Regions from separate parts of the Mus musculus genome. Here regions 2, 3 and 4 are each reported to be linked to region 1. The links are microRNA targets in miRTarBase. Many come from high-throughput screens and were not tested one by one. Region 1 holds a microRNA gene; each other region holds the end of a gene's coding sequence.

The links. The annotated mature microRNA mmu-miR-19b-3p reads UGUGCAAAUCCAUGCAAAACUGA and lies in region 1 at 2,553-2,575, shown strand. An mRNA with a match to its seed (bases 2 to 7 or 8) in the 3' UTR can be bound and repressed. Matches are read on the target gene's strand: a 7mer-m8 pairs with bases 2 to 8, a 7mer-A1 pairs with bases 2 to 7 and ends in A, and an 8mer does both.
Region 2: miRTarBase lists Ube3b as a target of mmu-miR-19b-3p. Seed matches in the 3' UTR shown: 7mer-m8 at 1,353-1,359.
Region 3: the mRNA of Arl6ip1 is a reported target of mmu-miR-19b-3p. Seed matches in the 3' UTR shown: 7mer-m8 at 5,485-5,491 and 7mer-m8 at 5,192-5,198.
Region 4: miRTarBase lists Slc36a1 as a target of mmu-miR-19b-3p. Seed matches in the 3' UTR shown: 7mer-A1 at 5,799-5,805 and 7mer-A1 at 2,487-2,493.

What each region holds. Positions count from the first base shown.
Region 1 is chrX:52,737,448-52,744,565 of GRCm38, reverse strand. Mir19b-2 (microRNA 19b-2) reads left to right here and starts at 2,500; the gene lies at 2,500-2,583. It overlaps Mir363 (microRNA 363), which reads left to right and starts at 2,799; the gene lies at 2,799-2,873. Mir92-2 (microRNA 92-2) reads left to right here and starts at 2,638; the gene lies at 2,638-2,728. Mir20b (microRNA 20b) reads left to right here and starts at 2,374; the gene lies at 2,374-2,453. It also overlaps Mir18b, Mir106a and Kis2.
Region 2 is chr5:114,419,029-114,426,146 of GRCm38, forward strand. Ube3b (ubiquitin protein ligase E3B) reads left to right here. Exons shown (of 28, transcript NM_054093.3): 28 at 450-2,141. The coding sequence ends at 641. Among named protein-coding and RNA genes, the nearest start is that of Mir7027, 18 kb to the left of the region's middle.
Region 3 is chr7:118,114,257-118,121,374 of GRCm38, forward strand. Arl6ip1 (ADP-ribosylation factor-like 6 interacting protein 1) reads right to left here. Exons shown (of 6, transcript NM_019419.2): 5 at 6,905-6,989; 6 at 4,634-6,154. The coding sequence ends at 6,036. It overlaps Rps15a (ribosomal protein S15A), which reads right to left and starts at 1,891. Exons shown (of 5, transcript NM_170669.2): 1 at 1,880-1,891; 2 at 853-990; 3 at 529-608. The coding sequence starts at 985.
Region 4 is chr11:55,231,642-55,238,759 of GRCm38, reverse strand. It overlaps Slc36a1 (solute carrier family 36 (proton/amino acid symporter), member 1), which reads right to left. Exons shown (of 11, transcript NM_153139.4): 11 at 2,430-6,393. The coding sequence ends at 6,122. Among named protein-coding and RNA genes, the nearest start is that of Slc36a1, 31 kb to the right of the region's middle.

The sequences.
Region 1 (7,118 bases):
GTGACGGACCGCTGCCACAGGCTCGTGTGCACAAGTGGTGCTGCGCGGACACTTTGGGGGTTAGGTGTGCGTGGGCCGCCGGGGCGCGTTTCCTGCACGTGGCTCCTCGCCGCCCTCCCTCCTCCACCAGCTAGGAGAGCAGAGGGCCAGGAGCTCTAGGAAGATGCGTGCGGTTCCCTGATCCTGGCAGGCAGGACAGCAGCGGGATGGTCGCGCGCGCCACCTGCCAGGGCGGGTCACTGGCAGATCCCCTACGCGCTTGTTCTGGATGACTGGACCAGGAGATGCGTACCTCCGCGGGCGCAGCTGTGATCCCAGAGAGTTAACTAAGGTGGGAGGGGATGGAGCTGGCAAGACTTGAGAAAAGCAAAGTACCTGAGTGTAGTTGAGGGGTGCCAGGCAACTCGTGAGAAAAGGACTCTCCCTTGTTGCTCTGAAGGTTTCTGGAGAACTTGTGGGTGGTCAAATGCCAGGGTGCACGTGGGGTGTGGGGCGGGAGGACTCCCGACCTACCTTGGTTTCCCTCCCACCAACCCGAGAATGGAGGGAGAGGCTTAAGCTTGGCGCGTTTTGGGGGCTTTGAATGGAGAACTCCGTTTCCCATAATGCTTTGTTTCTTTCTGTTTAATTTTGGTGGCCGCTAAGGTGTCTTGAAGACCTAAGCGCGTGGCATGACTGGCTGGAGCACACCCTGCGTTCCCAGGAGGTTCACAGATCTCTACTGGAGCCGCTGCTGAAGATGCGGGAATAGACCAGAGAAAATCCCGAAATGGTAAAAGACTGGGTCCTCTTTGCAATTTTAGAAGTTGTACAGCGACTTTCTAGTATATATGATGGAGAGCAGATGTGTTAAAGAAAGGTATTAGCTAGAAGGAGCTTTCTCTGGAGGGCTGAGGTATGGTTTTGCGAAGTTGAGTCAGGTTTTGTAATATATTTTTAGTGGAGGCAAAAATCTCTAGTTGTAGGAACCCAGTTCAAGAAGAAAAGTATAATAAGCCAATACTTGCACTATAGGAAGCAGATTTCATATTTACTTCAAAAGTTTTGCTAATTTATATTTAAAATGTTTTAAGAACTATCTTAGTCACTAAGTGGCTTCGAAAAGTTCCAACATTTAAAATATCCTTTCTCATTGAACACATTTCAAGTTTTGTGTCCCTGAAGTTTATTGGTGTCCCCCCATCAACACAAACATTCCATCATGGGAGGGAGGGAGCTCGTGACCCCTCAGACTGTCCTCTGCAGCATTTTCCTGGGTAAGATACACACTTGGAAATGAGAGAGGTTTTTCCTGTGGAAGATAATGACATGAAGCCAAAGAGCTAATCTGACTTCTTTAGGTTTAATGGAGAAAATGGGTCCATAAATGTTTAAACAGAAGTAGAGCCCTTTGAAATAGATGAAAATGTGACATCTCTAGGCCATCTGTGCGGTATGTGAAGAGTGTAAAACTGTTTCTTAAAGCGGCTCTGAAATTTCTATCATTTTCTCTTAATGGGCTGGGGGCAGGGATGCTTCATGTAATCAAACATAGAGACCTTCCGAGTGGCTCCCCAAAGCTCTGGATGAGCTCAAGACGTCAGTACTCACCCTAATGTTATTTATTTATTTTTTTGCTTACATCTTTTCCTGGGCTCTTGCCTCTTAGAAAACCATGGTGGATATTACAGCTCTGCAAATTTTCTGGGATGCGAATCTCAAATTTCCTTAGACGGAGAGGGAGTCCAAAATCCTCTTACTCTTAAGAGTCAGACATTCTGAGATTGCCAGTGTTATTCATGTTTAAGTCTGTGTAAATAATTGAGCTTATTAATGTTTGAAGTAACACAACCCCATTTGCACTCTTAACGGAAGGCAAACTTGTTTTAGAAATAGTAACTCACAGTTCACTTACTTGCTGTGTGTGTGTGTGTGTGTTTATCCAGGTGAGTCTGCAGATCTGGCAAAGAAGAGTTCGTGGAAGACTTCAAGGTTACACTCCTGGAGTATGCCTTGGCCATGTCAAAGTGCTAACAGTGCAGGTAGCTTTTTGAGTTCTACTGCAGTGCCAGCACTTCTTACATTACCATGGTGATTTAATCAGAGGCCGCTGAGTCCCCTGGTTTCTGCATAGTTAGATTGTGGATGTTTTTGAGCTGCTCCTTGTAATGTGTCTCTTGTGTTAAGGTGCATCTAGTGCTGTTAGTGAAGCAGCTTACAATCTACTGCCCTAAATGCCCCTTCTCGCACAGGCTACTTCTTACCTTGCATTTGAAAAGCATATCTTGAGAAATGATTTGAACGGCACAAGTTTCAAAGGCTCTTTCAGTGTTTCGCCGAGAAACAGATGGCGGAGACTGTAGTATACAGTTGTGTAGAAGAACAAGCTCGGATCCTAGTAGTGCCAAAGTGCTCATAGTGCAGGTAGTTTTTATACCACTCTACTGCAGTGTGAGCACTTCTAGTACTCCTGGATCAACCAAGGTCTTGTTGAAGCAACTACAGCGCAAGGACATTGCTACTTACGATTAGTTTTGCAGATTTGCAGTTCAGCGTATATGTGAATATATGGCTGTGCAAATCCATGCAAAACTGATTGTGGGAATGTGTACCTTTCTGCATCGTAATGGACACCTTTATGCACATCTTCAGCATCCATGCCCATTCATCCACAGGTGGGGATTGGTGGCATTACTTGTGTTAGATATAAAGTATTGCACTTGTCCCGGCCTGAGGAAGAAAGAGGGTTTTTAATCGTCTTTTAGTTTCTGAGTATTGTAAGTTATGTTAGACTGTAATTATGAAATGAACTGTTTTGCTGTTATCAGGTGGAACACGATGCAATTTTGGTTGGTGTAATAGGAGGAAAATTGCACGGTATCCATCTGTAAACCGCAGGACCTATGTGGACAGCCGTCTATCAGTGCTATAGTAAGATTGTAAAATCCTTTAGCTAGTCATTGCTTTGAACACATTTGGAGTGGATTTTTTTTTTTTTTTTTTGGTTTTTCAAGACAGAGTTTCTCTGTATAGCCCTGGCTGTCCTGGAACTCACTCAGGGTGGCCTCGAACTCAGAAATCTGCCTGCCTCTGCCTCCCAAGTGCTGGGATCAAAGGCGTGCGCCACCACGCCCAGCTTGGAGTCTAATTTTTTAAAACTACATATTTTTAAATATATTTGAAATCCTGACATTTTGATTGCACTGAATGTAAACAAACCTGAAATTTGCAAAATAAAGCTGATATATAAGTCTGAAAAAAAATGGGTTTCTTTTTTCTTTTTTAAAAGATTCTATTTATTTATTTATTTATTTATTTATTATATGACAAGTACACTGTAGCTGTCTCCATAGACACCAGAAGGTGGCATCAGACCCCATTCCAGATGGTTGTGAGCCACCATGTGGTTGCTGGGATTTGAACTCAGTACCGCTGGAAGAGCAGTCAGTGCTCTTAACCACTGAGCCATCTCTCCAGCCTGGGGCTCTCTTTTTTTTCTCTCTTTTTTTTTATTAGGTATTTTCCTCGTTTACATTTCCAATGCTATCCCAAAAGTCCCCCATACCCACCCACCCCCACTCCCCTACCCACCCACTCCCCCTTTTTGGCCCTGGCGTTCCCCTGTACTGGGGCATATAAAGTTTGCAAGTCCAAAGGGCCTCTCTTTCCAGTGATGGCTGACTAGGCCATCTTTTGATACATATGCAGCTAGAGACAAGAGCTCCGGGGTACTGGTTAGTTCATATTGTTGTTCCACCTATAGGGTTGCAGATCCCTTTAGCTCCTTGGGTACTTTCTCTAGCTCCTCCATTGGGGACCCTGTGATCCATCCAATAGCTGACTGTGATCATCCACTTCTGTGTTTGCTAGGCCCCAGCATAGTCTCACAAGAGACAGCTATATCTGGGTCCTTTCAGGAAAATCTTGCTAGTGTATGCAATGGTGTCAGCGTTTGGAAGCTGATTATGGGATGGATCCCTGGATATGGCAATGGCTCTCTTTTTAAATTAGCAATACTATTGGCTTTTCTAAAATAGCGTCTTGGTATGTAGCTCTGGTTAGCTTGGAACTCAATTTGTAAACTAGGCTAGCCTTGAACTTGCGGAGATCTGTGTGTTTCTGCTTCTAGAATGCTGAGATTAAAGGTAGGCACCCCTCCACTCCTAGACTTCCAGCATTTACATACATTTATCTATCTATCTATCTATCTATCTATCTATCTATCTATCTATCTATCTATCTACTTATTTAGTGTGTGTGTCATGTGGTGATTTGAGAACAACTGTAGGGAGCTAGTCATGTGGGTCATGGACATACATCTTAGATTTCTTAGGCCCGATGGCAAGTGCCCTTCCCCCACTGAGCTGAAAACAAATTTTATAGGGTATGTCTTGAAGGAACATTTGAATATAACTGGAATTTAAGTTTGCGTTGAGTCTTTGGTTTTATCACTACTGAAAACCCTGCCAGTCCCATCTCCAGAGAGTGACTGTCATCAGGTGAGCCCTCAGGATTTGCCTTTGTAACCCAGTCTCAGGTGCTGATGGTGCTCGCCCAAAGAACTATAGGTTAAAAAAAAAAAAACGCCCGGTTCTATTTTAAGTTTCAAATTCATAAAGTTGAAAGGACTCAGGCACATTTTTTACCCCACTTTCTCATTCTGTTTCATGTGTTAATGTTAACACTGCCCTGTCTTTGGTAAGTGGAAAAACTAGGTAGGTATGTGTTGGTTTTACCTATCTGAACATTGAGTTCTCATCAGAAGGGAGAGGTATCACTATGTGTCATTCTTTGTGCCTTGGAATTTCCCAACTTTGAAAGCCTTTTATTACTTTTTGGGGACCTCATTACATAGGTTCAATTTAGTTAGAATTTTTTTACTGAATTATACTTCACCTTTGAGCTAGTTCCCTAAGCTTCCATTTCATTAGGGAAAATACAGTGATAACATTGGTCCTACACCAGTGAGGTGGGGCTTCTGTTCTCCTTGGGAGGTGAAGAGTGGTCAAGAACATGGATTTTAACTGCTGTGATGACATGAAATCTTAATGAAAAGAGATGGAGGCTAGTAAATTCTCTATTAAGTATGTAGGATTTTCTTAAGTCACTAATGTTTGAAGTAATTACAGAAACAAAATAATGAGATACTTCCTGTGCTATGACTTAGTATTTTATTGGTGCCTAATTGTAGTTAAGTTTGATGTGGTAGCAAAGACCTCCTTCCCTTCTAATAAAGTAGATTTAAAAAGTGGGGATTAAAGCTTATTTGTTATAATCTTTAGTACTACTAGGGGTCTGCTTTAATACAAGTGTATTGCCATTGGTAGTCCACTGGTACTTAAGGTGGCACGTATCCAGAAGGTAACTGTAGTTACTAGTTTTACTAGGCATGTCTCGAGGGGCTAGGGTAGATCACTGCCTCCTAAGAGTCCCAAGACCTTTGTCTGAAATTAAAATGATGGCTGATCTTGATCATAGGGCCTTTGCAAGTCTTGAAAATTAAATTCATTATTTTATTTTTGGAAACAGGTGGTTCCACCCCCCCCCCCATAGCCTTGGCTGTCCTGCAACTCACTCTAAATCAGGCTGGCCTTGGATCTTCCTGCCTCCTGAGTGCTGGGATGAAAGCTGTGTGTCACCACTGTTCTTCGAAAATTAGGGTTTTATTCTTGTTTAAGTTACACACGAGAAGTGGAGCACTTGCCTAGCACGTGAGAGGCACTGGGTTTCATCTCCTGCACCACAAACAAAAAGTTAGACTATAAAATAATTGTCTTGTGCTTAATGTCATTTGTGTAGAGCATTTGTGATTGAGGAGATTTATATTTGTTATGGGAAGAATTAATAATATATGTATTCAGACCCATATAGATAATCATTTTCTGAGCATTTCAGTAAGTTTAGTGGACAGTTACCGAGCAAAATTACTACCTTTGAGTAAGAAGGTAGTCTCATGGGCTTCTCAAAGGTATTGGATCTTCCTTGATGGAAAAGTCAGTGTGACATTGTGACTAATTAAACCAACTAGTTATGATAAACAGTGATTTGGAAGTTGAGGTGTGGCTTTAGAAATTGTCATTAGTTTTGAAACAGAGCATAGCAAAAGGGGTGTAGAAACTATGGTACAAACTTTTAGGTGAGCCGAGCAGGGTGGCTCCCACCTTTAATCCAAGTACTCAGGCAGAGGCAGATGGATCTCTGAATTCAAGGCCAGTTTAGTCTACAAAGCAAAGTCCAGGACAGCCAGGGCTGTTATACAGAGAACTCTGTCCCAAACAAACAATTTATTAACTGAAAGAATCCTCACTCCCAGGTCGTAGTCCATCCAGGTTTACTCTACCAAGAAAGCAGACTTGAGCAGTGATTGGTTGAAGGTGTGTCAAGTAGCCCATCAGAGATCAATCTGATAAATTCCAATTTGTAAACAGGGAGAGAAGCATCGAACTTGGGCAGGGTGTGGCAGAAAGTACTTCCCAAAAGCAACATCAAAGGGAATAGGCCCCAAGTAGAATGAACACAGGTGGAGCAGAGCAAGGAGGGGCTTTGAAGGCAGTTGTTTCCAGAAGAAGCAAGAGAAGGAATGGGTACTCAAAGAACTGCACTGAGCAGCCGAGGAAGGGGTGTAGAAAAAGAGGCCTGGGTTCAACTCCAAAGACAAGTATTAAAAACAAAGGAACTGTTGAATTCAGACCATTTCATATGTGTGAGGGGACAAGTAAGCTAGGATCAGATCACACAATTCTGTCCCAATGAGACAGAATGAAAGGTTCTTAGGTTTCAGTTTGGTAAGGTCTACCTGCCAGCAGTGAAGTGCCCATTTGGCCAATTGGGCCAGAGGCCAGTAGGCTATTTTCTAAGTGGGAGACAAGGGTTTGATTCACGACAGGAGGAGGGCCAAATAAATATAGGCTAAGGTATCTCTCACCAACAAATTCATGGACATATTTAATAAGATTTTGCCCACCATCTCAACAAGAGAGCTTCTAAACTTTTCTATAATTCCAAAAGCCATTTGCAAGAATATACAGCGGAAAATGGTTACATAGACACTGGAGGAGGTGTCTTAATTGGCTTGTGACTGCTGTGGTAAGGAACACCATATCCAAAAGCAAGTTGGGAAAGAAATGGTTTATTTAACT
Region 2 (7,118 bases), not on the chromosome of region 1:
AAAGCATGCTGGTCTCAGGGTGTCCCTGCCTCACCACCTCTCTGCGGCCGGCAGCCTTCAGGCTGTGTTCCCATGGGTCAGACACTAGATGGTCCTCCACTTCCAAATTTTGGGCCAAGTTGAGTCAAGTGCTAGTTGGCCATGGGCTGTGGTACCGACAGAGACAGGGTACTAGGCTGCCTTAGTTAGCTGATACATGTCTGTCGGTCAGGAGCCTGTTGTCTTAGTTGACCTAGAACAGGACTCAGCAGGTGTGAGTGCCCGGGGGCAGGTGTGAGTAAGTGCCCAGCAGCAGGTGTGAGTGCCCGGGGGCAGGTGTGAGTGCCTGGGGGCAGGTGTGAGTGCCCCAAGGCAGGTGTTCTTCAGCCTCTCAGGCCCTTGCCTTGAGCTGGGCATATCCTACTCCTGTGTAGGCACCTTCTGACCCAAAGCTGTGTGTGTGCTTGCAGGACACTGGGGATACCCTGGGCAGCGTCCTCAGGGGCTTCTTCACCATCCGCAAGAGGGAGCCAGGGGGGCGTCTGCCCACATCTTCCACTTGCTTCAACCTGCTTAAGCTGCCCAACTACAGCAAGAAGAGCGTACTGCGAGAGAAACTACGCTATGCCATCAGCATGAACACGGGCTTTGAGCTCTCCTAACACAGCCTGGTCTCGCTACCACAGAGCCCCCAGGAGTGTGGCCAGGGTACCCACAGCCCTCAGACCCTCTCAATAGCCATGAGACACCCAAGGTTGGGGATGCTACACAGTGCCCTCCATGCACTGGGGACAGAGGGCTGATGAAAATAACCCCCCAGTTCTGCCCTGTGGGGCCTGAGACCTGGGCCTAGTGATTACAGAGCAACTCCTGGAGATTCTGTGAGGCTTTCTTCTCTTGCCCTCTGAGGAGGACACAAGGCCTGTGCCTGTGAGCTCCTCCTTCCGTTCTGAAAACTCAGGTACGGCCTCGCCAAGCCTCTATGCACAGCAAAGTCCCTGCCTCTACCCTGTCCACAGTGGCCTCTTCCCAGGCAACCAAGCCCAGCTCCTGCCAGGGAGGCCACTGAGCACAGTCAGGGTCTCTCCTATAGGGATCCAGGTGGTCCACACCACAGCCCTCCTTCCCAAGTCCTCAGCAGGCCACGCTGTCAGGGAACCCTTGCTGTCAGCCCCTGGCCTGTGCATCAGTGTCCTAGCTTGGGAAAGAAACCCATCGTTCCCCTGGAGAACAGCCCATTTCTGGAGTACCCAGAGCCTGCTCGCTCTGGGCATCTGCCCCCTATTCACCTTACGGAGAACCACATGAGACCCTACCTACAGTGCCCAGCCGCCTGGGCAGTACTTTATTCCAGGGACTTCAGAGTCCGTCCTTTTGCACTGACAGGCCCTGGGAGCTGAGGATACGTCCCACACATCTCATCTCCACACCGCCTCTGTTGGCGCTTGCTCTTTTGTCTGGGACCTCATTCTCTTTTCCCACACACTGCGCTCCTGGGCCCTCCCTTTCCCCATTTCCCTTAAGAACTTTCTCCAGATTCAGGATGTTGAGGCAGAGGCCCAGGGCTTAGTAACCTGCTAGTAGCCACTTGTCTCCTGCCTCATCAGGTTCTTGTCTCCCTCCCACCCTGATGGAGGAGTCCTGGCCCCTCCTCCACTCCGTGGAGCCAGCTTAGGGCTACAGCGCTCAAAGCAAGAAAACGCCTTCCCCAAGGAGCCTGCACAGTGGGAAGTGGCCGTGCCCTGTTCTCACTTTAGCAAAGATCTTGGGCTGGAGCATGGGGTAGGCCCAGGAAAGCCCCTGGGGTTCTGGAAGGTGGCTCCAGCTTCACGTCTGCCAACCATGTGTGTTCCCAGCTTGCCCGCAGAGCCCTGTGCCCCGTGCACAGCCTGCACAGGTAACACAGAGCCTGAGAGTTACAGCGGGCACACGGGAGAGTTAGTTGTAAGCACCGATATCAACTTGACCCCTTTGTCTTTGACCTAGGGCTGTCTGTCGGTCACCTAGAGTCTGCTTCCCGGCAGTTATGTCATAGCTGCTGTTTGATGACATCTCAGCAGCTCCTGGTGGCGCCAGAAGGAAGCAGGGGTTTTTGTTTTTGTAGGTAACTCGTGGACTAAGACTTGTCAGGGCTTTATTAAATTTGTACTTGAGCACACGACGGCTCTGTTCTGGTTTCTACACAGCCCCGTGCCCAGACGGTTTGGGTCACATGAAGCACCCATAGGAGCGGGAAGACAAGAGCTGCTTTGACATCCTGGCCTTGGAGCTGAGCTAGGAGTTGTCACCTGTGCCCAGCTTTGAAGTGACATTTCAGAGAAGCATCCCTAGAGCCAGTCTCCCTCCGCTCCCTCCCACCCGGCAGGGTACCTGGTCAACATGCGTAGCTTTGCAGTTTATGATGTATGTGGCACCTACCGAAGCCAGCTTGTTCGATGGGGAGAGAAACCAGATATCTCAAGATGGATCTAACCTGAGGTAGCTCAGATGCCCCAGTGTCCCCACTAACAGAAAAATACTGCAGACCCCCCCGCCCCGAGACACATAATCTCCTGCAGTGTGGTGCTCACCCACCTAAAACTAAAGCCTGGCTCTGGCTTTGTACCTTTTAGAACTGAAGTTGCCAGCGCAAAAAGCTAGCATGCAGCAAGCAGGATATTTTGATAGGCCAGCAGGACCTGTGGGTGCTCGTGAACATTTAGTTGGCGCAAAACCCTGAGGAAATGCCACTGGCAGTGCCAAAGCTGCTGGCCTTTATCCTCTGGATCAGGTAGAGTTGGTGGCTTCTCCCTAAGTTGGTCATTATATGAATGTGGCGTGCCCTGGGTCCTTTCTTTTTTACTTTCTGAGATTGGGTGTACTGTGTAGCCCCAGCTGCTTGAGTGCTGGGGTCACAGGTTCCCGTGTCACCACATGTCTAATCCAGGGGTTCGGGACAGGAAGATTTCAAGCTTCCGGTCAGCCTTTGATAAACAGCAGACCCATGTGGTCTCAGACCAAAAAAAACAAAGCAAGGGCCAGGGCCACCCTCCAGAGCCTCTGACCAAGCTTCCGGACTCCCGACTCCCTCACAGCCAGGGTGGACAGAGAATAAAGGTCACCTGCCATTTCTTTGAAGTTTACACAGGCTGGGGACTCATCTGTGTGGAACAGTGCCTTAGCAAATGCACTTCAGCCCCCAGGAGCCTGGCCTGAAGTGTTTGCACACCTGAGGAGTTTGCCCGAGTGTGCATCTCCAGAAACGGGCTGTGCCTCCCATGACAGCATGAGACCAGTGTAGGAGACTGCATCAAGACCCAGGCCAGCGGTCCCCACCCCTTGGTGCCTCGTTCCTAATGAAATCATTTCTTCACTGTGGTCCTGACAGCCAACGCTGCTGATGAGCGTATGTGTAACAGGTGGGGTTGTTCCGGAGCCTGCGCCACGGACTCCACCATCCATCCAGAGCCCGGCGCATTCTGCCACAGGGCTCTTGTCCCAGCCCTGCTGCCCACCAACTGAGAGCTCAGGCCAGAGCCCCTTGCTTTTGGAACCGCAGTTTCCCCTCTAGGACAGCAGAGAAGGGGGCGTAAGAGACACCAGTCTCTACCGACTGCGGGCAGCTGGTGATTCCCGGTTATCTCAGGGACAGAGTAAACATTCTCTCTGGGGTTCCTTTGTTCTTCAGACTTCTGGGTAGGAACATTTATCAGCAGACATCTTAGACCTGGGTAGGAACAGTCAGAAATCTCAGAGATCTGCTGTCCAGACAAAGATGGTGCTGGTGCCCCTGGCCCAGAGCCCTGGCTGCACCCCAAGCTTCCACCTCGTTCCCTGGACAATGCTCCTGGCTTGGGCTCCTTCAAATTTCCCTTAGACCCTTGTTGGAGCTTGGTGCACACGGGGGCAGGGGAGGTGGTTTGAAGAAACAAGGCCAGGGGCTCCAGCAGACAGAATACAATGATGAACTTGGCCTCTGAGACATTCAGGTCACCCTGGGCACCTGAGCAGTGCCAACCTCTCAGCTTCACTCTGCGCTCATGCCTGTGTAGTAACACCCGTGGGTCGTCTGGCCGACAGACGGCTGGAATCGCTGGTCAGGTGGGCGAGACTGGTCCAGTCCACCGTGCTTGGAACCTCATTCTCCTCATCTGAGAAAACGGAGCAGTGAGTTTTCTCTGCCATAGCTAGCTCCACTGTGGGACTGCACGGGCAGCCCCAGCACTTGGCAAGCTCAAGCAGAAAGGTTTCAAGTTCAAGACTAGCCAGGGATACAGAGTCAGGGGTGGCAGCACACCGCTTTAATGCCAGCGCTCAGGATGCAGGAGCAGGGAGACCGCTGAGTTTAAAGGCAGCCTGATCTGCATTCACGGGCAAACCATGCATAGTTTCGATGGAGAGGCTCAGAAAGGAAGTGTGTGTGTGTGTGTGTGTGTGTGTGTGTGTTTTCACTCAGCAGCTGGCACCATGGAGGTGGAAAAGGGGGGGGGGGCACTGTGGCAGAGGCAGAAGCAGAAAGGCCAAACGTGTAAAGGTGGGCATGATAGCCCAAGGTCAGCGTGGGCACCACATGCCAAACAGTGATGGCCAAGGCTGCCCACTGTGCCGAGCCTCTGCACGGATGATCGCTGTAAACCCACCAGGGATCTTGGGAACCGGGGTGGAGCTGACCTCAGTCTACCATGGGTTAGAGAGGCGAACAGGCTTGCAGGAGATCACAAGTCAAAAACTCCACAACTGAGACTCAGTCCTGGGCCCGTGTGACTCTGCTGCCCAAAGGGTGTGTGCTGGATGGGGGAACGGGGGCTCAGGGCTCAGGCTAGCTTCCAAACTGGGCTTTTGAAGTCAGTGGGGGGTAAACAGGCAGGCCGTGTTAGGCTTGGAAGAGAGGTCTTTGGGGGAGATGGGAGCAAAGCTATGCCAGGGCAAACATGATGCTGCTTACCTGGGCCTCTGCCAGTACTAGGCACCTGCACAGCATCTGTATCCATGATCCTTTCCCTATAGGGGCTCCGGTACACTCTGTAACCTTCTGTCCCACGTAGGACACTGTCCAGGGGAGGGAGGGTCCTCTGTGCATACTGTAGGAGCTTTGGTACAGTCTGCTGGATGGTTTTGTCTCTGGCCCAGATGGTGCCAGATGGACTAAGCAGCTGGCAGGTGTTCCAGCCGGGAGCAGGCCCAGGAAGCCTGACGGGCATTCATTCACCTAACAAATAGGCCCAGGGAACTTCTGTGCCGCAGGCTGGGACAGGGGTTGTGACAGCCACAAGCAGTGTGGGCACTGTCCCAAGGAGTTATAATCCAATAAAAAATGTCATTGCATTCCTTGGTCACTCTGTCCAGTGCCCTGTGTTACCCCATTATGATACCCACTTAACAGCTAGGAAAACTGAGGTTCAGAAACTGTCCCGCAAGTATTCCAGGCTGGAACACTGCTATGCCAAACCCCTCATCGGGACTGAGTGGGCAGAAAGATGGGAGACACTTCTTGGCAAGTTTAAAGGGATGCACTGGACTTTGTCTGCAGCTCTTCCCGACCCTATCACTCAGCAAAGCCTTCTGGAAACTGTCACGGTCACACCCGTTGCTGAAGCATCCCTACTGGCTTTTTGAAAAACTAAACTCCCAAGCTCTGGCTTCCCAAGTCTTGCAAACTCAGAGGAAGCAACGGGCCATGGAGCAGGCCCTGGTCCCCAATTCCCAACCAAAGGGAAGAACAAGACTTGAGGGTCGGGGGTGCTCCTGACAGCCTGCTTTGTGATATTCACTCTTCCCTGGACCTTTAGAAACTCACTGCAGCCAGGAAGGCAAGAGAAAGGCCAGGACCTCACCCTTTCAGCTCACCCGAGCTCTGTGGGTCTAAAGACCCCTTGCCAGCCGAGGCAAAGAACCAGGCGAGACAAGGGTCCTCCGCAGTGGGCATGGCTCCTGCATCTGAACGAGTTCTGTGGAGAGGGACACCATGTGTGCCTTCCTTGTCCCTCAGCTCCCAGATATTTTCATAATGATGGTGAGCACACCACTGGCTGGACCGTAGCAACCATAGCTCCTGGTTTTGCCTTTCTGTGTGCTATGCCAATGGTCCCTGGGAAACAAGCTGTTGGTTCCCACCACCAAGAGCCGATCAAATGGAAGCAGCCCACCTCCATCCGGGGTGGTCTCCAGTCATCCAGGGTTCTTGAATATCCCATGGCAGGAGGCAGCTGAGCCTCAGAAACACCTCATAGATAGATAGTGTTGTCAGGCCGTGTACCCACACTGCAGGTGGTTAGAAGCCAGGGCAGCTCAGGTCCCTGGGGAGTGGAAACAGAAGCTGGGTCTCCAAGATGCAGTGTCAGCCAATGGCCTGTCCTCAGTGCACATGCATGTGTCGTGGAGGTTCAGCGCATACATGGCTCGTGGACATTCAGCACATATGTGTCTCATGGAAATTCAGTAGATGGGCCTGGCTCGGGTGTTGTTCTTCCACATTAGGTCCGCAGACATTGTTGGTCAACTGTGCCAGGCATCGCACAGGCCTGGGATTCAGTGTCTGCTGAGAGCCAGTCCCCACATGGGAGCGAGGAAGATGACTTCTGGTGTGTGCACAAGTTAGGAAGCACTGTCAGGATCACGCTGGACAAGGAGAGGCCAATCAGATATCATTGATGAAATGCCTACACAGCAAGCGTCCCCAGAGGTCCCTGCTGCTTCCTGACTTGACAAAGCCCACTCTGGCCTCCGGGTGTTGGTGGTGAAGACTCAGGTTCTGATCCACCATGGGCCCCTTCGTCACTGTGATTAGGAGCAGTCACACATCCTCTCCAGGCCCGCAAAAGGGGCTGGCATCTTCCCGGGAGGACTACTGAGATCAAATGTGGCTATAGCACAGTGTGTGTCACACACATAAGCACTTACACAGGCAAGGGAAGTCACCCAAGCCAGCTGTCAACTGCCCACCTGACCCTCCAATGGATTAAACTAGCCACGCATCAGTTTCTGGTGGGAGTACCTTCTCAGACACATGTTCTTGGCTATTTTACCAGCGTACAGACACAAAGAGCTTAGTCACAAATAAAGCTATGATGTTGCATGGTCTGCCACTGTCATAAATGTGACCAAAATGTCATTGCACACTGACCAGCGAGGCTGTGCAGCTCTTTAGATCACTGGCACCT
Region 3 (7,118 bases), not on the chromosome of region 1:
AACCATGGAGTCAGAAAGTCTATTTGGCTATGCTGATGACAATTAAAACTGACGAGCAGCCTAGAACTCAGACAGCTACAACCTACACCAACAGACCATGAACTCTTAGCCACTTACTCAAGATTAACAATTTTATTAAAAGCCAGCACACCACTGGACAAGTGCATCGTGTAACTTTAATACAGCAGTTTGACAGAGTATAGATCAACCTCTCTATGTGTTGAGACTTCCATCTTGAAAATAAACAGGCCACACACACCACCAGTACAAGACTGAGTTATTCATACACTGAGCCATAGTTTAAGCTACTGAAATCAGCAGTTTCCCACTCCAGCGTTACCAGAGTTTAGCTCTATCCCACACAAAACTAACCAATAATTTGAACAAGTAACCAAAGACACCAAGTGAAATGTGGGTACTAAAACAGAAGCATAGCCTTAGCCAATTCCTTAAATCAGGGAAGTAGAGCAAGAATGACAACACTGTGAAGTGGCAGACAGCTGCAATTTGAGAAGCAAGATGTCTTACCTTGTTCAACCTTCCTGTGAGGTTCACAACAATCTTCCCAGCTCTGTGATCATCAATGATCTCAAATTCACCAATGTATCCTATAAAACAAGTGACCAGCGTCAAACCAGACATCAATTTGAGACCTAAACCTTTACGCCAACACTAACTTTTTGCCTATTAGATTTTTCTCTCATCTGAGTCTCTGCATCAGAATTCTGAAAGCTCCGTATCACATAAAAATTTTTGGGAGTTAGCATCAACACACCCATTCTTTTCTTGAACGGTTACTGTCTTTCCCTCCCAGATCCAGCACTGTCAAAAACCCAAGACACCAATACTCACCGTGCTTCATCATCACGGTTAAGAACCGAACGATGACTTTAGAACATGGCCTGATGAGGACCTGGCGTTTGCCTCTCTTCTCAGCGTTGTTGATGCTCTTGAGAGCATCCGCCAGAACATTCATTCGCACCATGGTGGCTGTGGAAAGAAAAGCCGGGGTTTGCATCAACACCCAATCATGCTGTCCTACCCCCATTAGCTTTTCCTAGGTCTAAGCAACATTCCCAAGAACCAGGAAAAATTCACTACAATTTCCCGACTGTTCAGCACTGTTCTTCAGAGTCTAGCCCTCCAAGACACTCCTATTCATACCACCCACCACACAAAATAGCTGGGGAGAGAATGACACAAGCCGAGCCTCACCACACAGAAGATAGCCTTCGAAATGGTGGGACCGACCAGCTAGCCAAACTGAAAGTGGGGGTGCGGGAACTGTCATTAGGAAAAAGTTCTGGCACCGTCTGCCAAGATTTTCAAAGCCAGCAGTGTGTCAAGAGGTTAACGCGACTTAACTCATTTACAGGTAACCATTTAACACACAGACACACACACACACCCCCTTTCGGGAGAAGAGGCAGTACGTGACAGGGAGCCCAGCCAGCCTACTGAACGGCCACAACCCATAGGCTACCTCCACGGCTCCTCAGGACGCTGCCAAGGCGTATTTTACGCGCCAAGAGTAAACCACGACGTGGTTCCCTAACTCGGCAGTGAGTGGCTGAGCCTAACTCCCCGCGCCAACCCTGGCCACGGCCGCGTGGGACACTCGGGACTCCAGAGCTCCCGCAGACACCGGAGGCTGCAGGGCCCACGCGGGCCACCGTCCCCGCCGGCCCGAGCCGAGCCCGGCCTGTTGCAGTGGGCCGGCTCCCGCAAAGGGCTACCCATAGCCCCCGACCCCGGCAGACGGAGACTACGGCCCCTGCAGGGATCTATAGGCCCACGGGACTCCGAAAGCGAACACGGGGTAAAGGGATGGCACAGATACCACACGGATGAACACGGAGTTTCACAAACACTCACTCACCGGCGAGGGAAGATGGCAGAAAGAGAGTGGGCCGGGCAAACGCACGGAATTATGGGAAGCGGAAGCGCTATCGCGAGACTTCATGGTCACACACTTAAAAAAAAAAAACCCAAAACCCTGTGATTTCTTATAGGACAACCAATGCGAGGGCGGGGCCTCCTCTGGGAGGGGCAGATGAAACTAGAAATGGTGGGCTGCTAGTCGCTCTGAAACTCGCGGCAGTCCTGCCTCAGCCTCTAGGGTTTTGGCATTAACGCCACTGCGGGTTCTTGCGTTTAGTTTTGTTTGCCACAATGAAACTCACTAGGTAGCTTCGGCTGGGCTGGAACTATGAAGACCAAGCTGACTTCTAGCCTCCACCTGCCTCTGCCTCCCAGTGCTGAGATTAAACATCACAGCACTTGGCTTTTGTTATTATTGTTTTGGTTGGTTTGGCTTGAATTTGGCTTTTGGAGACCAGTAGTGGCCCAATGCTGTCCCCGGAGTCATGAAAATCTTGACTAGTAACAGGGATTACTGCCATGGTCCGCTTCTCTCGCTCTCTCTCTCTTTTTTTTTTTTTTTTTTTTTTTTGTTTGTTTTTTTGTTTTTCGAGACAGGGTTTCTCTGTATAGCCCTGGCTGTCCTGGAACTCACTGTAGACCAGGCTGGCCTCGAACTCAAAAATCCGCTTGCCTCTGCCTCCTGAGTGCTGGGATTCAAGGCGTGTGCCACCATGCCCGGCTTAAGGTCCACTTTTCTTCCTCCTCCTCCTCTTATTATGCAGCCCTGTGATCTGTCTGCTTCACTTTTGTAACTGGGGTTACACTCCTCCTCCTCCTCCTCCTCCTCCTCCTCCTCCTCCTCCTCCTCCTCCTCCTCCTCCTCCTATTATGCAGCCCTGTGATCTGTCTGCCTCACTTCTGTAACTGGGGTTACACCTCAAGTGAATCTGTTGACTCCTAGCCTGGACCATTAAGCTTCAAGCCTACAGAGGTTCGGGAAGCTTCGTTCATTGCTGTTCACACTAAGTCTGGAGAAGCATCTGCCACATAGTAGGTCCTCGACATATAGTTGAAGAAAAAACTGAATGGACAAATCAGTTTCTCCATCTCTAAAACAGGGATGATAGAACCACTCAGAGGAGCTTTTGAGAGACCACACAAATGTGGCAGTGCTCAGCAGTGTTTGGCACAAGATTTATTTCCCCCAGAGGAACAAAGGACAGGGAATGAGAGACAAAGACAGGAGATAGAAGGTGAGGGAGAGGGGAACAAGGGAGAGGGAGGGAAAGGATGTAAGTCCTGGGAACAAAGAACTGCCTCTGCATAGAGAGGAGACAGGTGTGGCCCTTGAGCAAACGACAGTTTATGAGGGTAAAGGGGGAAAAAACCTCTTGTTAGGATGAAGTGTCTAACTCTGGTTAGACACGTTAATTAGGGTAGCTGCAAGGGGACTTTTGGTTGCTGGACCTCCATCCTTTGAAAGCTGGACCTTGGTAGTCAGCCTCAGAAGGAAGTGAGCAAATAAGTGACCAAATAAGAGAGCTTTAGGAATGTAACCTAATAGTTTTTAGAAAAGAGGAAGGGAGAAGAAAAAGGCCCGCCAGAACCATCTTTGTCATGCTCTGGCCGCCAGAGTCCCCTTCATCTTCTCTCACAACAGGGGAAGTCTTCATTCCCAGTCATAATTCACCCCACAAAAGGACCACAGGCTTTCCCAAGGTTTATAAGGATTTTGAGCACAGGTCTATTTCAGACTGACCTCAAACTCACATCCAGTCTCCCAATTTCCTTAACATGGACCCAATAGGAATGACTTCAGGAATTCAGATCAAAGCAGCAGTGGGGAGGGGTGGTAGTTAATGAATCTGAGATCCTAGTTAGTTCTGTGGGGATTTGGCTAGCTGATCCCAGTGTTGTGACCTTGGTGTGCCACAGAATCTAGATGGCCCCAGGCTGATGAGCTCCTAGAGGGGGTGTGTGTATGTGTGTGCACTTGTATAGAAATTGGGAAATTTGGGGTGGCTGGGCTGGAGGGAAGTGGAAAAAAAAGAACCCAGTAAAAACTGACTCACGTTTGTGATTTGTTAGAGGCAAATTAGAACTAATCAAAGATGAGCTGCTGGCATTTAACTACACCTTACAGACACTTAAAAACTAGGTTGGGTGAAGTGACACATGACTGTTTGAGGTGAAGGCAGAAGGGCCAGGAGTCCAAGGCCTACCCAGGCTTTCTGTGAGCCTGTCTAGAAGTACCAAAGGCCCAGACCTACAGGGCACAGATCCTAATGTCTGTCTCCATGTGAGCCTGAATGTGAGAGAACCTCAGGAGGGCACTCAGACACAGCTGACCTGAGCAATTACCACAATGAGAGAACAGAGTTTTCTTTTGTGATTTTAAACTTTTGAAGTCTTCCCATGAAGTCAGGGCTGGCCGCAAGAGATTACAAGTCAGCAATTTCAAAGCCATAGGATTTGTGACTTTACTTGAACTTGCAGAAAGGGAAGTATGCTTAAGGGTGGATGGAGCCTGTTCCCAATGAGACCGCAAGTTATGACACCCAAATTTTAAAAGGCAGACAAATGATTATCAACTACTGATGATTATCAACCACCTGCTTTGGGAGCTTAAGTACACGATCTTTTGAGTCTCCACTGTCTCCTCCTCTTCAGTGTTCTCCCTTTCCATCTGACATGGGTACCTTAGAGAAGAGCTCCAATGACAACAGGTGGTCACTAGTTAGATTCATAAACTCAGAGTTAACAAAGAAAGTGAGACAAAAGGGTTCCAACTGGTTTTTAATTTTTCCCCTTTACCACAAAACAAAGAAGAAATGATTAAAACTGCCAAAGTAGTTAACTCGTAGAACATGTATTAGTCACACACACACAAATTCCAGGTAGGAAGGCAGGCTTATTTACAAGAAAACATGTAAAATCAAAGTGGGAGTCATGAAACATTAAAAAACAAACACACATGCTACAAGAGGCACCGCTGCTTACAGTGCTAGGGAGGTGAGAGAACAGATACACACAGGGGCAGGCTTCACAGCATCAGTGCATGGATCCACAAACTATGTTACAGCTAGTTCATGGGTTAAGGAGTTGTTCCCAAATGTCCTATTTTGGCCCTCAGAGGTTCAGTTCTGCAGATTTCAACTGCTCTAAAAGCCCCCTACTGAGAGGGCACGTGATCACAGTAAGCTTAAAGAGTTGCAAAAGCTAGGCAGACCAGAGTCACCAATCAGCAGTCTGCTCTCAGCTGCAGCCCTGCATTTTTCTGAGAAATGTCAAGGGGAAAGTCAAACAGCAGTAAACACTTGTCTCTCAAGTGCAAAGCTGGAGGCACTGAAATACAGCCAATACTACGAAAACAAGTGAGATTTTCCAGGCTTACTCTTAAGCCTCTTTTTTTTTTTTCCTGGTCTTAAATATTAATAGATAATCTAGTTTTCTACTCATTGAACAAAGGATACTTTTATCCCTGGCTGCCCTTACAGGAAAGTCACAAACATTTTAAGTCAGCTGACAATCTGAAACAAAGAAACTGCTACAATCCTCAAATATAATCTTCTGAAAGCTTGCTGCTCAAAGGCCATTATGGACTAGAACTAACCTGAAGCAGTGCAAAGGGAATGAGAGGTCAGTCAAAGCCTGCCAGTCCTCACAGGAACAAAGGGGCAATGCTCCCTCAAACTGTTGCATTTCCTATGAGCGAGGAACTTACACACACTAGGGTGTGGAATTAATTTTTTATCTTATTCCATGGGTATTCTCCCACAGTGGAAACTCAGGAATGAATTTTAAGTGGTCTCCTCAGCAGAAGTGGTAAACCCAATCTCTGTACTCACAAAGACAGTTTGTTAAGCAGACAGTAGAACCAGCTTCCTGTAGCCACAGACCACTGCCTTGAATATAGCTAAAGCAAACATCAACAAAGTCACAGTTCACTGTACAAAACAGTAAAGTTCACCACTTAGCATCTTAAAGGAAGGAAGTTGTCAAAATGAAAGGAAGTCACACTGACGGGGAATGTACCCAGCTACACCTGGCACTAGAGCCCGCACAGAGCCTGGCCTGTGAGAATTTCTATTAACAAGGGCAGAGTGAGGGAAGCAACGAGCCACTGTAACACTTCAGTGCCCAGGGCCAGGGCACACTCCGCGGCAGCCACACTACTCATTTTTCTTTTCTTTTTGCTTGAGAAGTTTGTTTATCTCCCTTTTGGCCATTCCAATGTACTTCAGAATGATCCCATGTTGGTTTAGTCCAGGAAGCAACAGCACAAATGTCACTAGAAATGAAAAAAAAAAAAATGAAGTTGAGGAGACAATATTTAACTCTCTGAAGATGACTACAGTTGAATGTGGGTGGACTGTGGAGAAGTGACACAAAAGCCATCCAACAGGATTCAGCCCAAAACTGCAGCCAAGGTGCCTCCTGAAGGTGCACTCACGCTCACACTACAGTGCCTTCTATCTCACTCCTCTTTGCTCACGACCTACCTGGCTTTAATGAACTCCAGGAAAACAGAGACCAGTCTTTTTAAAAAAGATTTGTATTTTATGTGTATACACAAGTGCTTTGTCTAGAAGCATATATGTGGAATATATGTGTGCCCAGTGCCCACAAAATCCAGCAGAGGCTATCAGATGCCCTGAGACTAGAGTCATAGGTTGCTGTGAGCCAGGAATTGAACCAAGCATGTTTTTAGCCATGGAGCTCTATCTTAAGCCCTGACTTGAATCTCTAGCTGGGCTGGTTTTGAACCCGACCTGTAGCATATAGAAAGGGATGACCTTGAACTTCTACTCCTTCTGCATCTAGGGCTGGAATGACAGCTTTATCCAGTACTGGGCATCAAACCCAGGCCTTGGTGACACAGGGCACAATCTGAGCTGTGACCCAGCACAGACTGGAACCTTTCCTTCTCACCTTGCCCCACTCCCATAGGTCCTGTGAAAACTCAATCTATTTACTGACTACACACCACAGTCAGACTTCCCTGCTAAGTTGAACATGTGATGTTTCTTCAACGACTTACCAATCAGGTAGGTGAGAAGCAGGTTGTGAACTTGCTGTCCCACCCAAGCCACCGCAGCAAGAGAAATGATCATGGTCATGAAGTACTGGCAAAAAAAGAGTAACAACTTAGCTCCCAGCAACAAACCAGCCAGTGCAACTCTGAAGCCTGGCCTCTCTACACTGCACACAGCAACCACAGCCTGAAGGCTTGCCTCAGGTGCCTCAACACTACA
Region 4 (7,118 bases), not on the chromosome of region 1:
CAGGTTGGGCATAGACAAGGGCAGCCTGCTAGGTCAGGCACAAGTAATGATGTGAAGACTCAGGGCACCCAGCAGGTCTTGGGGGTGAGAAACTTCTCTGTGCCCTCTAAAGGAGATGAAGCAAATGAGGCATGGTGAGAGTGGTGGGAGGCAGGAACCAGGGGTCTCAGGAGGCGAGTCCTGGCTAGTTAGAAAATGTGAATCCCAGACACATTTTTAAAAACCCTCTAATGTCTCTATGTGCAAAGGAGCTATTGCCAGAAGTTTCTTTCCCTTTAAATAAGATGCTATATAGAAAACTGTTGATTGTCATTGACATAACGTCTCAAAACATGATTCTACCATTACCATTGAAAAGGCAGCCAGCCTCTGAGTAGTCCACACATCCGCACACCTTTGCTCCAGGGCCAAGGGCAGAGTAGAATGGAGAGATGGGAGGTGGCTCAGTGGGTAAGAATGTTTTCTGCACAAGCGTGAAGACCTGTGTTCAGATACCCAGAACCCACATTAAAACCTAAGGTATGGACATACATGCTTACAGCCTGTGTCATAGGGGCAGACTAGAGAATTTCCGGATTTGGCTAACATCCAGCCTAGCTCCAGGTTCAGTGAGAAATCTTGTCTCCAGGGAGTAAGCAGGATACCCAACATCTAGGTGTGCACACTTGCACACATATATATGCATATTATCACAATATATTTTAGAAGGCAACCATCTACATTTCTTTTTAAAGATTTATTTATTTATTACATGTTAAGTACACTGTAGCTGTCTCCCAACACACCAGAAGAGGGCATCAGATCTCATTATGGATGGTTGTGAGCCACCATGTGGTTGCTGAATTTGAACTCGGGACCTTTGGAAGAGCAGTCAGTGCTCTTAACCACTGAGCCATTCCTCCAGCCCCAACCTTCGACATTTTTATTGATATGGTCTCACCAAGCTGCACATTGAAAAATAGGCAAATTTTGCTATATGTAGATCAGAATTCAATCTATTTAAAAAGATGAGGGAGACCATGGTCTATGAGAGCGGTTCTCAACCGTCCTAATGCTGCGACCCTTTAATACAGTTCTGCGTGTTGTGGTGACCCCAACCATAAAATTATTTTTGTTGCTACTTCATAACTGTATTTTTGGTACTATTATGATTCATGATGTAAATGCGTGTGTGTTCCATTGGTCTTAGGGGGACTCTTGTGAAAGGGTCATTCAACCTCCCATCTCCGAAAGGAGACTGAGAGCTGCTGGTCTAGGACAAATGTACCATTCAAGATTCACGGTCTCCAAGCACATCTGCAAAGGGCAGAAATGAAGAGGCTGCCTACCTAGGAAAGCCGGGTCAGCTCACTGTCAGTCATACCGGTCAGCTCACTGTCAGTCATACGCATGTCTCCAGCAGAGCAGGGCTTACCTTGAAGAACTTGGAGATCTGGGGTTTGAATTATAGCCATTACATAGGAATGGAGCCTTGATGCAGACGATCATGTAAATAAGTGTTGACTCCCTTCAGTTTTCTAAGCCCCGCATCCTTCTGACACTCCCTTCACCCTCCTGGCTGAGGCTGTAAGCAAAGGGAAGAGGCAGGTACCAGGAGAAGCACAGGAACTCTGGTACCGACCCCTGCTGTGTTCTAGTTCCTTGTGCCCCCTGCTGTGTTGTGGTTCCTTGTACCAGCTGGTGGCCTGTAAAGACTGACTGGCTCTTTCTTTGGGACCTTGGGTTGACTCAGTGTATGTGTGCACACACAGTCATGCACCAGACAAGGAACATGAGTGGTTGGCCACACATGCAATTGTGACCTAATTATTTATTCTGCCTGGTGACTCAGTAGGCATTTCAGTTAATGTAGGTAAATTCTCTCTCTCTCTTTCTCTCTCTCTCTCTCTCTCTCTCTCTCTCTCTCTCTCTGTGTGTGTGTGTATGTGTGTGTGTGTGTGTGAGAGAGAGAGAGAGAGAGAGAGAGAGAGAGAGAGAGAATATAGAAACAAATTTCAAAGGAGAACTAGCTTAGCTGTGGCTGACAGGTGTACAGTTCCTAGGGCTGGTCTCCACTCAAGTGTGGAAGCTGAGAAGCTGGTCTTGTGGTCTGGAGATAGGATTCCTCCTCAGGGAGGCCACGGTTTAAGAACTTTTGGATGTGATGAAGCCACCCACACTAGCAAGGGTAATCTTTACTTTGTCAACTGCTCTAAATGTTAACATTTGCAAACACCCAGGCTCATATTTGACTGAAAAACCAAGCTGATCCCTAAAACTACCCACTGGTATATGCAGAAGGCGACCCAGGATTTCGGGAGAATATCGAAGTGGTTTAGGGAAACAGGGTTGCTTTCCCTTTCTCAGACCCCTGTCCCTTTGTCAGATTGTCCTAACTCAGTGATTTTTTTTCCCTGAAGTGTGAAAACAAAGACACAGTTTGCAACCTCTCAAAAATAAAAAATAAAATTCATTTATTGAAGTGGAAATTTAACACAAGATCCATATGTGCAACCCAAATGAGACCTAGAAGCTCTGACATGACCCACACATGTACACAATGCACATCTGAAGCTATGACATGACCCATGCATGTTCGCAATGCACATCTGAAGCTCTGACATGCCCCACGCGTGTACGCAATGCACATCCAGGTAGGCGCCAGCACACGGTACTGTCTGGCTGTTAAGACTCTCTGTAGGGCAGTTCTCTCGTTCCTTGATTTCAACATATACTGACAGCTTTACGATATAGACGTGGGATTTTATTATTCATAAAAAAAAAATTCCAGCTTCTTCAACATCGGCTTGATTTAAACCAAAGAACAGGGTAAACACCAGGCTCCTTCCAGCCTCATTTTCTGCTGCTTTTTTTTGATAACTGCTTATGAGCACGGTTTAATGTCTCTGACCAGTGAATGGCTCGGGACACACAGAAAAAGAAGACACCGGCCAGACGGAAGCTGGCGCGGCCAGCAGGACTAAAGTGCCTTCAAGTATTGACCACAGTTTCAAAGATGAGCCACATGGCCCGCTTTCCCCTAATGGTATCTGATTTGTAATGTACTTTGGAAAATTAAATTCTCAAGCCAGCTTGGCGCCACCCTCCTGATTGCCACGTCCGACCACTCTGTCTGGTTCCCATATCAGGCCCCAGAAAGCCTCAGTGTGCCAGTGGGAATGGTGGCTGGGGCTGGCTAGCAGGGAAAGCAAACCCTTGTCCAGAGCCCTTGTCGGGCAGGCAGGTGGGCGGGCGGGCATTAGAAGGGGGTAGTGAGTGCTGTAAACATGATCTGAGCTCTGCACTTCCTGGAAGGATCAAGTGAAACAATGGAATCCAAAGAGCAGACACTGACGGGAGGGAGAAATCTGAGGATGAGACAGCCTAAGGACAGGCTCTGGGATCTAGCTTCAGACCACTGATCACACTTAGCACAAGACTTCCAGGGGAAGAGAGCAGACAGGAGCACCTGCCCATAGGTGTGGCTAGTGAGGTGAGACAGGTGGGCCTAAGCTAACCTCTACCTCTCCCGACCCAGACAGCAGCACAAGTGATGCCACAGCTAAGGGCACGGTGGGTTGCTCGGGCTAGATCACATGCTTCCCAGCAAGTGCTCACATTCAAGTTTTCGATAACTGGCCTCTGACTTTGGGTACAGACAAGGAATGGGCTGGCAAGGATGGGGCATGTCTGCCTCTGGGGCATCTGGATTCAGGCTTAGTTTCCACAAGCCTTGTCTATATTGTTCTGCCCAAGCTCCCATTTATCTGTTTTCCCACCGGGGGCCATCTGGCTCCAAACTGACAGTGGGAGGGGTCAGGAGGGCTCTGACTCAGGGCTCCTGTGGGCGCCTGGGCTGTGTGTGGCGCCTGGCACTATGTGCTTAGCAGCTTCCTGGTGTCCATCCAGAAAGGCCCTGACCTTGCTCAAAGAGTCAGGTCACCAAACTGACAGTACCTCAGGAGTATAGCAAGAGGTCAAAAGATGTGGGCCATACCAAGGTACCAAGGAAGCTGCCCTCAGCCAAATGCTACAGAAGGCACACCACACCGTGTCAGGCCAGGGGCCCTGAAGAGTAGCTGGCCTTGGACAATGGGTCTAGACCTGGGTAGGAGCGCCTGTAAAAGTTCAGAATAGACTTTCTTCCCACCCAGGAAGCCAAGCTCAGGTGGCTTCTAAGAGAGAGCCTGGCCCACAGTTGGGTTGCTGGCCAGCGTCTAAACCTACTTTGGTCACTTTCCAGCCTGAGACTTCAGAAAGCAAGGCGTCTGTGAGTCCCAGCTGGAACCAGGCCACATAAGCACCTGTGGGGATGCTGATGCCAGAAAGGGAAAAAAGCATTGCTCTCCTCGGGGCCAAGACAGCAATGGCTACTCCTAGCAACGCTGCTAAGGACAGTGGCTGCTGTAGCCAGAAACCATCCTTCCCATCCTGTGACCTAGAAGTCACGCAGCAGGCTCTGGACAGAACAGCGAGAAGGGGCTTGGCTGCAAGGTTGGGCCACTAGCTTCTGTCAAACACAAAAGCAGCACTCTGATAAATTCTTGCTTCTTTCTCTAACTCGAGTTTCAAGGCAAATCCTATCTGTAGTTAAGAGCCTGGTAACCAGAGAGGAGACACAAACCGCTCTGTAGTGTGCATATGTGTGCATGCACACGTGTTCACTATCACACACACACACACACACACACACACACACACACACACACACACACATAACCCAGAGATGGAGAGCCAACAGCTGTCCTTTGGGAATCCTGACATCAACAGGGGAGCAGTGGCAAGTCATGGACTCTCAGTGGCCTCTAAAGGCACACCCTAAGATGACTGACCTAGAAGCCAGGTGACTCTGTGAGAGGCATAATAGGGGCAGGTATGGGCCACAGTTAGTGTTTAGTGGTTCCTTGGAAGCCCAGGATACAGAGGCAGCTTGGGGCAAGGCAGGGATTCTGCTCTCTCCCCAGGAACTGTAAACAATGACCCTTGTGCGTAGTGTCTATGAAGAGGAACTGCGCCCCGTCCTTAGCCTTGTATACACGAGTACTTCCGAGTGCCCATATGGAGTCAGTCTCATGAATGGAAGTCCACAGAAGCATGGGGCTTCCAGAGGCGGTGCATGCTCACATGATCTGCTTGAGGTCTCTGAGCCAGCTGGGAGTGGCAGCTCATGCTAGTAACCTCCATACTTGAGGCAACGGTAGGAGAACTGAGAGCCCATCGTCATCCTTGACTACACAGCAAGCAAGTTCAAAGCCAACTCTGGTGACATGAGACCCTGTCTGGAAACAAAACAAAAACAAAACAGACAAACAAACAACAAAATGGCCAAGAGGGCAGGGCGGAGGGCATATCCAAGGTCCCCTGGAGCAGGTGTCTTAGTGGAAGGAGAAGCCAAGTGCCAAGCTGCTGAAGCTGTGATGCCAGGTCTGAAGTCAAGAGCCTGAACCCTAAGCTTAAATACACCGTAAATACCTCCAGCCTGAGCAGTGTCTCATTGTCTTTAAAGAAATCAAGGGGCAGCACTGTGACCTACACAGAGGAAACGAGAAGAGGTGACGTGGCCTGTGGGTTCCCCAAGTCAGACAGCAGATGGAAACCTTCAGCATTCAGGGCTGGCTGTAAACTATTGGGGGTGGGGGGGCATCCAGAACCCTCTCAGGACTCAGCTGGGTGGAACAGTGAGGTACAGCATTTGGGAGCCTGATGAGAAAGAGGCCTGGCTTTGTAAAACATGAGAGTCCCCACTTATTTAATCTAGGCCTGGCCCAGGAAAGGAGAAAATGTCGGGAGCCAGAGACTACCTTTTAAATAAAGTGAGCTGTGCAATGGGAATAATTTAGGCGTGGCTGGTCAGACGGGGGGGGGGGGGGGGGGCGGGGGGGTGGCGGGGGGGGCAGTGCCGAGGGAGGAGGCGTGATGAAGGAGAGCAGCGACGGCACCATCACAAGTGGAGGGGCTGCTCCCCGCCCTCCCCCAGTCTCAGTCTCATCTAGCCCAGGTTACCCAAGGGTCCAATGCCAGATAGAGCAGTGCCCAGGCAGCAACCCTGCCTTTTTCCAGAGGCTGGACTATACCTGAGGATGTGGGGACACTACTGGGAGACACACAGGGTGAGGCTGGTGGAGGGAGCACACCCAGATCCTTATATGAAGGCACTGGTGGAATTGGTAGAGGAGTCGCTATGGCTTGGCTGGATCAGCTCACACAGAGACTCGTAGGTCCCCACCACGAAGCCCACGAAGCCCAGGATGCTGATGAGGGCATCCTTGGTGACGGTCAGGGGGCTAATGCCCTCTCCATAGTAGGTGACCACCTCCAGCAGGGGCGGGATGATGAGGGCCAGGGCGCTGCTGCTCACAGAGCCCACCAGGGAGATGACCAGGTCCAGGCGTGGGATGAGGATGGCCAGCACACCTGCAGAGAGAGGGGGACGTCTTTGTTCAAGAGTGCCTGGGGCTGTAGGAGATATGCTCATTGCCCAGAAAGTTTGGCCTGGGTCCACGTTTAGAACTGAGAACTCGAAGGAAGTTAAGATGCTATCTAGTCCAATCTTGGGCAATATGTGATCAGATTTACAGAATTACTGTGGTCTCCTGGCTCTAATCTCACGTCTATATGTATGTATGCATATGTATATATAATTTATATATTTATTTTTTGACAGCACTGTCACAAGTTGTACCTTACTATGTCTCGAATGTCTTATTATGTATCTTAGGCTGACACTGAACCCGAGATCCTTTTGCCTCAGCCTCCCAAACACTGGGATTACAGTTGGTTACTACTCTCCCAGCTGGACAACTAGTCTCTCCCAAACAGACAACTGGGTGAAGGTAGGGGTGAAGAAAAGTGGGTGGGCCTTTCTAAGGGACATTCACTTCCTCACACTGATAGAGCCACAAACACATCAGTCTTCAAGCACTAAACACAAAGGCCCACCACACATTCCCATCTCCTCCTCTTCAGGAGACACCATGATAAAACCCGTGACAAGGAGGACAGGGGTGGTTCTGCCTGAAGACTGCCCTCTAGGAAAAGCCCACTGTGTCAACCAGCCATGTCAGTCTTGGGACGGTGCACTATGTAGGCTTTTCGATGTCTAGAAATTCATCTTCAGAATTCACAGTGGCCTTGAACAA